2 linked regions of the Canis lupus familiaris genome follow. The protein of the gene in region 2 purifies or fractionates together with the protein of the main gene of each other region. This does not show direct contact. Links are inferred from orthologs where the notes say so. Each region holds a gene or a part of one and is shown on either strand. Other genes may lie near its edges.

Region 1 (3,651 bases), on a different chromosome or scaffold from region 2:
ACAGACACTTTTTTTAAGTAGCCTCAATGCCCAATGTGGGGCTTGAATTCATGACCCCAAGATCGAGAGTGACATGGTGCCTAAAAAGGAAGTCATGACTGAGTACTCTACTGATTGAGCCAGCCAGGCACCCTCAGACAGATCCCTTTTATTTTATTTTTTTAATTTTTATTTATTTATGATAGTCACACAGAGAGAGAGAGAGGCAGAGACACAGGCAGAGGGAGAAAGCAGGCTCCATGCACCAGGAGCCCGACGTGGGATTCAATCCCGGGTCTCCAGGATCGCGCCCTGGGCCAAAGGCAGGTGCCAAACCGCTGTGCCACCCAGGGATCCCAGACAGATCCCTTTTAAAGAGACTATGAAGTTTGAATAATGGTCATGTTGTAATAAAACAAACTGCTTCCCACTGTTAACTTGCTTAGGATCTTAGTTGCTATCAGCCACCCTGGTCCTCACGTACCTCTAGACAACCTTTAGGACCTGGTCCTGATGAAAGTGGGAGAGAGGAGGGACAGCTGTAATGTTTATGGAGGAGGTGGTTTGGGGAAATTATCAAACTAAATTTAGAAGGAAGTAAAATGAGGTACAGATGCTCTATCCACAGTGGACACTAAAAATAATAACCCCAGGTAGAGCAGTAGAGACTGGAAAGAGGCATGAGGGGGCTTCTGAGGTTCTGAGAATATCTGGGTGCTGGTTACACAGGTTGTAAACTGTGAAAATTCAGTGAGCTATATACTCACAATTCACGCACTTTTATGTATGTATGCTATATTTCAGTACATTTATAAAAAAACACTACTTCATAAAAAGTTTCCTTTAAAAAAAATAATACTCAGAATCCTAGTGGATTTTCTCTTTGAGTCACTAGAAGACTTCCTTCTAAGGAGATTTTTTTTCCAAAATTATTTGATGTCCAATTTATGAATTACACAATTTTTTCCCCCACTTAATAACTGAAGTATAGGGGCACCTGTGTGGTGCAGTCAGTTGGGTGGCTGACTCTTGGTTTTGGCTCAGGTCATGATCTCAGGCTTGTGAGATCAAGCTCCACAGGCCCCAGGTGAGCCTGCTTGGGATTCTCTCTCTCCCTCTGCCCCTCCCCACTCCTGTCTCTCAAAACAAACAAACAAACAAACAAACAAACAAACAAACAAACAAAAACCCAAAACCAAAAAACCCCAAATAACTGAAGTACAACATACATAGAGTACATTATTCTAAAGGATACAACTAAATGACTTTATATATGTAAAGTCAAGACAGAGCCCATTTCCAGCACCCTAGAATGTTTTCCTATGTCCCTTCCCATTCCATACCTTCCCTTTTGAGTTCTATCATCATGAAATAGTTTTGCCTCTTCTTGAACCTGATGTAAACAGGTCCTGTGTATACTTTCATGTCTGAATTTTGTTATTGTTGTTCAATATAATGTTTGTGGGGTTCACCCACATTGCTGTATCATTAGTTCATTCTTTTTTAATGCCATGTGGTATTCCATTTTATTTTATTTACTTTTAGAGAGAGGGGGGTAGGAGGGGGCAAAGAGAGAGAGAGACTTCATCAGGCTCTATGACCAGTGCGACATGGGGTTTGATCTCATGACCCTGAGATCACAATCTGAGCCGAAACCAAGAGTCAGATGCTTAACTGACTGAGCCACCTAGGCACCCCTAGTATTCCATTTTAGAAATATACCACTATTTATTTATTTATTTATTTATTTATTTATTTATTTATTTATTTATTCATTCATTCATTCATTCATTCATTCTCTTGTTGATGAACAGTTTTTGACGAATACAGCTATTATGAGCATTTTAATATGCTTTGATACAGTGGACACATGCACTAATTTCACTTCCATGTAGACTCAGAAGTAGAACTGCTGGGTCAGAGAATAGATATAATTTATACAAATCTTCTAAATAATGAACATTATTTAAATATAATCAATCCTGTATCACACATTATGCAACTATTGAATCAAAACTTAATCTACCTACCAATTAACATTTGGGATAATTTTTTTTCTTTAGAATTTTATTTATTTGAGAGAGAAAGCACGTGCAAGCAAGCAGAAGGAGCTGAGGGAGAGAGAATCTGAAGCAGACTCCCCACTGAAAACAGAGCCCAATGTGGGAATTGATCCCAAGACCCTGAGATCATGACCTGAGTTGGACACCTAAAGTTGGACACTTAATCAGTGGAGCCATCTAGGCGCTTCTGGGATAATTAATTCTTAGTAGATAATTTACCTTTTCCTTGAGTGGCGGGGAGCAGGGACTAGAGGCAGGGCTATCAGGTGGGGATGAGTCTACCTCCACTGGCTCTTCTTCTTTGATTTTGATGTCTGGTGTAGAAGGCAAAGACATGTCAAGGGGCCCAGCAGCAGCCTGTTAAAAGAGAGAAATAAGCATAGTTCAACCCCACGAGTCCCTACAGGCTGAATCAAAATCTTTCCAGTTAAAATACGAGGAAATAGAAATATGCTTTCTCTCCCCCCCCCCCCCACCTTTTTTAAAGTAAGCTCCACACCCAACGTACGGCTTGAACTCACAATCCTGAGATCAAGAGTTGCATATTCTACTGACTGAGCCAGCCAAGTGCACTGAGGAAAAATACTTCAAAGTTCAGTCCTCAAAGAACTGAACTGCAAGTCAAAGAACTAGGGAACCTAGGTTTCATGTACAACTCTGGCCAGATCATTTTAACTTCTTTGAACTTGTTTTTATTTTCTAAAAAAGAATCTCAAAATCTTTTAGATTTTTCTAAAAAATTTTTTAAAGGTTTTATTTATTTGAGAAAGTGGGCAAGAACATGAGCAGGGGGAGGGGCAGAAGGAGAGAGAGAGAGACACAGACTCCCTCGTGAGCAGGGAGCCCGATGTGGGGCTTGATGCCAGAACCCAGGGATCATGACTTGAGCCGAACGTGGCTGCTTAACAGACTGAGCTACCCAGGCACCCCAGAACTTCTGTTTTTCTAACTGTAAAATGGAAATAATGCGTGCTTCACCACAGTGATACTTATAAAGATCCTAAAAGGAAAAAAAAAAAAAAAACACACACAACGCTTATAATGTTTATAAAGACGCTGAAAGACAGAAAAAAAAAAAGTCATTTAAATCCATGCAAATATTATACCATTTTTCAGGAAAGTAAAATGATTCCTGAATCCAGTGCTTGCCTATTTCCAACCAGCTCTGCTGGCCACTGGAGGGCTGTGAGCACTTTTTCTGACAACCAGAAGGACTATTACCCAAGTATCAAAAGCAAACAAAGATAAATTAGCTATTGAAGTACTATAAATAAGATAGGAAAGATCTATTCTGGGGAACTTCCCATGCTTGATGGTGATTTCATCCCAAAATCTGGTGTTAGAGGCTAGAAGTTAGGAAGCTAGAGTTTTGGGATAATAAAGAAAAGAAAGGCTAGTGATTTGATCAGTTAAAGAAATTAGAACTTGGTCCTCGAAGCAGGACTGGGGAACACCAGAAAGGAGAAAGAATACTTTCCTGGCAGTGGTGAATCACTTCACAGAACTGTGGAGCCATAAATGGCTTTGCAGGGAACCATAAACCATCTGAGATGACGGCCCTGACACCACACCACGACAGGAGGGCTGGCACTGCAGTTTAGTTTCATGA
Region 2 (3,157 bases):
AAGCTGTTTATTGACAGTAATCAGCTTTCATCAAATTAAAAAATATATATATGTACATACACAGTTAAGGAAGGCAGGCCAGAAAAGAGTTCATCTGCAGGCTCAGCCTCGCTCTCACAAACCTCCCTCCCGCCTCCCCTCCCCCAACACCCCCCCTCCTCCCCTTTGTGTTCTTAAGGAGTACTACAGAAGCAATCTACAGTCGCTATTGCAGTTTGGAACCCTTCCCCCTCCCTCCCCCCCCCCCACCCCTTTAATACTGAATGAGATCGAATGTTAGGTCCATGCAGTTCTTGGTCAATGTTAAAGAAAAGTCTAACGTTCTGTTCGCGCGGGGACAGCCCGTCCGCAAAGCGGGGCAGCCCGCGGGCAGCCGCTCCCTGGCCCCGTGCCAGGGGAGGGCGCGCCAAGTCCTTCCCACTCGTGCACACTGGGGGCGCCGTCAGGACGCCGCCCAGTCCAACTTGGATACCCTTGGCTTTAGTCCTTGGACACTTCTTGTCTCTCTCGCTCTCTCTTGCAACTTGTCAAGTTCTCAAGTTCTCTCGCTCTCGCTCTCTGTGTGTGTGTGTGGTTTTTTTTTTTCTCCTCTCTCTCTCTCTCTCTCTCCTCTCTCTCGGTTGCCCCTCAAGCCCCCGACAGTCTGTCCTCAAAACGTTTGCAACTGCTGCGTTAGCATGAGCTGGCACCCACTGTTAACGTGATTCATGACTTTCTGTTTAAGCTGTGCCACCTGTTCCCTGAGCATGTTGGCCGTGGACGCCAGCTCCGAGTTCTGCGCTTTCAAGGTTTTCACTTTTTCCTCCAGCCGGGCGATCCTCTCCAGCTTCCTTTTCCGGCACTTGGAGGCAGCTATGCGGTTCCTCATGCGCTTCCTCTCGGCCTTGATCCTCTCTTGCGACTCCATGTCGATGGGGGACAGGGGCGGCGTCTCCCCGGGCATCTCGGGCACCGTCTGCGGCTCCTCCTTCAGGGCCTGCAGGCGCGGGTGCTGCACGGGGAGCTGCTGGGGCAGGTGGTGCGGCGCTTGCGGGGGCTGCTGCGGCTGCTGCGGCTGCTGCTGCTGCTGGGGCTGCGCGGGAAAGGCCAGGCCGGCCGCGCCGTAGGAGGGCGCCCCGCCGCCGCTGCTCAGCGCGCCCGGGTTGAAGTTGCTGAGGTTGGCGTAGACCGGCGGCTCGCTGTGCAGGCCCGCGCTGAAGCCGCCGCCGCCGCCGCCGCCGCCCGCCGCGGAGGCCACCGCCGGGGCCACCATGCCCGCGCCGCTGACCGGCTGCGCCGCCGACGTGACGCTGGGCAGCGTGTTCTGGCTGTGCAGCTCGGCCAGGGCGCGCACGAAGCCCTCGGCGAAGCCCTCCTGCTCGTCCGTCACGTTCTTGGGGCACAGGAACTGCGTGGGGGTCGGCGTGGTGGTGATGTGCCCGTTGCTGGACTGGATGATCAGGCGCTCCAGCTCGGGCGAGGCCAGCTTGAGCAGCCCCACGTCGGGCGAGGTGAGCAGGTCCGAGTTCTTGGCCCGGAGGTGCGGCTTCAGGCTGCCCACCGGGTCGGCCAGGTTCAGGGTCATGCTCTGCTTCAGGATCTTGGGGTTACTGTAGCCGTAGGCGCCGCTCTCGGACTGCAGGAACGAGGCGTTGAGGGCATCGTCGTAGAAGGTCGTTTCCATCTTTGCAGTCATAGAACAGTCCGTCACTTCGCGCGGGGTTACTTTGGGCTGCGCGCAGAAGTTTCGGGGCCGCAACAGCGCGCTGGCGAGCGGGGGACCCCCGCGCCTCCCGGGTGGGGGGGGCGGCCCTGGGCTAGAGGAAAGTTTCTGGAGGGGCGCGCGCTCCCGCCGGCGGTCCTCCCCCCGCGCCCCGCTCACCGGCTCCGGCCGCCGCCGCGCTCCTCCTGGGTCAGCTGGCGCGCGCGCTGCCCGCCTCGGGGAAAAGTCGCGGTCACCCACGGGGCGCGCTCGGGGCGCTCTCGGGGCGCGGCGGCTCCCGGGGGCCCGCGGGCCCGCCCCCGCGGCGACAGGGGGAGGGGGCGCCGGGCAGCCGCGGCTCGCGCTCGCCCAAGTTCAGCCACCGGGGCGAGGGGCGCCGAGCGCACGTCCCTCCGCGGTCTCCTCGCTCCGCCGCCGCCTCTCTCGTCCCGGCCGCCGCCGCCGCCGCCGCCGCCGCCGCCGCAGCCGCCGCAGCCTCAGGCGCGGCAGAGCTTTGCAAAAGTTCGCTCCGGGACCCGGGCCACTCGTCCCCTGTGCTCCCGGCCAGGAAAGTTCTGAGCCGCCGCAGCCACTCTCTGCACTTGCGCGGACGGACCTGTCGCCGCTCTCCGCGCTGTCACGGCTCCCGGGCGGCGGGGCTCTCCTCCCGGGGGCGGCTGGAGAAGGGGGTTCTCCGGGCGCTCCCCGAAACACCAGCCCGGGAGCCACAGGCGCTAGCTCCGGCCAGTCGGCGAGGAAAATGCAAAACGGAAAGCGGATTTTGCAGCCCGGACTCTCCGGCCGTCTCGCCTGCCCGCGGCCGCCCGCCTCCCCGAGTCCGCGCTCCTCCACTCCCACCTCGCCGCCTCGGCCACACTCAGTGCAACTCTGAGCCCTTATCCAGCCGGAGCTCAACACTTATCTGCTACCAGTCAACCCCTAAAAATAGCCCATGATGTCACCCCAAGGCCTTCCCATTGGCTCGCGTCGCTCTCCAGGGGGCGGGCCCGCCCGTCGCCATGGAGACCCCACCCTAGAAGATTCTTCTCCGGCCCCGCGGAGGCTCACGGGATGAGGTAATGCTCCGCTGCCCTCCTACAGTTGGGCCCTTCTTTCTCCTCCTCCCCCTCCCCCTCCCCCTCCCCCTCCCCCCTCCCCCTCCCGCGCGGCTCGCGCCCGGCTCTGCCCCCGTCTCCTCCGCCGCGCGTCTTTCCCGGCCCGCCCGGTGCATTGTGGGCTGACGTCTTGGGATTTGACTGTCGGGTGACGGCGGCTGCCGCGAGCCGGGCGGACGCGGGCGGACGCGGGCGGACGCGGGCTCCCGCGGCCCGGGCGGGCTCCAGTTCAGGGCGCTGGCGGGAAGGCGCGGGGACCCGGCCAGGTGCCCGGGGCCGAGGGCGCGCGGGGTGCGGGGAGGGGTGCACCACTCGGGGCGCTCGAGGTCCTCCGCGGGCGCCGCGCCGCCTGCCGCGGCTG

What was found. Proteins that work in one complex are often made in the same cells at the same time.
Region 1: the proteins of JUN (region 2) and cyclic AMP-dependent transcription factor ATF-7 purify together in Homo sapiens (affinity purification with mass spectrometry; 3 studies listed by BioGRID and IntAct, with this or other methods). This does not show direct contact. The link is inferred for Canis lupus familiaris from reciprocal best matches to the Homo sapiens genes JUN and ATF7.

The regions. Positions count from the first base shown.
Region 1 is NC_049248.1:44,957,630-44,961,280, forward strand, and holds part of cyclic AMP-dependent transcription factor ATF-7, read right to left. Parts: intron 2,400-3,651; coding exon 2,262-2,399; intron 1-2,261. UniProt on the Homo sapiens protein: Stress-responsive chromatin regulator that plays a role in various biological processes including innate immunological memory, adipocyte differentiation or telomerase regulation.
Region 2 is NC_049226.1:51,325,714-51,328,870, reverse strand, and holds JUN (transcription factor AP-1), read right to left. Parts: upstream 1,892-3,157; 5' UTR 1,676-1,891; coding exon 650-1,675; 3' UTR 560-649; downstream 1-559. UniProt on the Homo sapiens protein: Transcription factor that recognizes and binds to the AP-1 consensus motif 5'-TGA[GC]TCA-3'.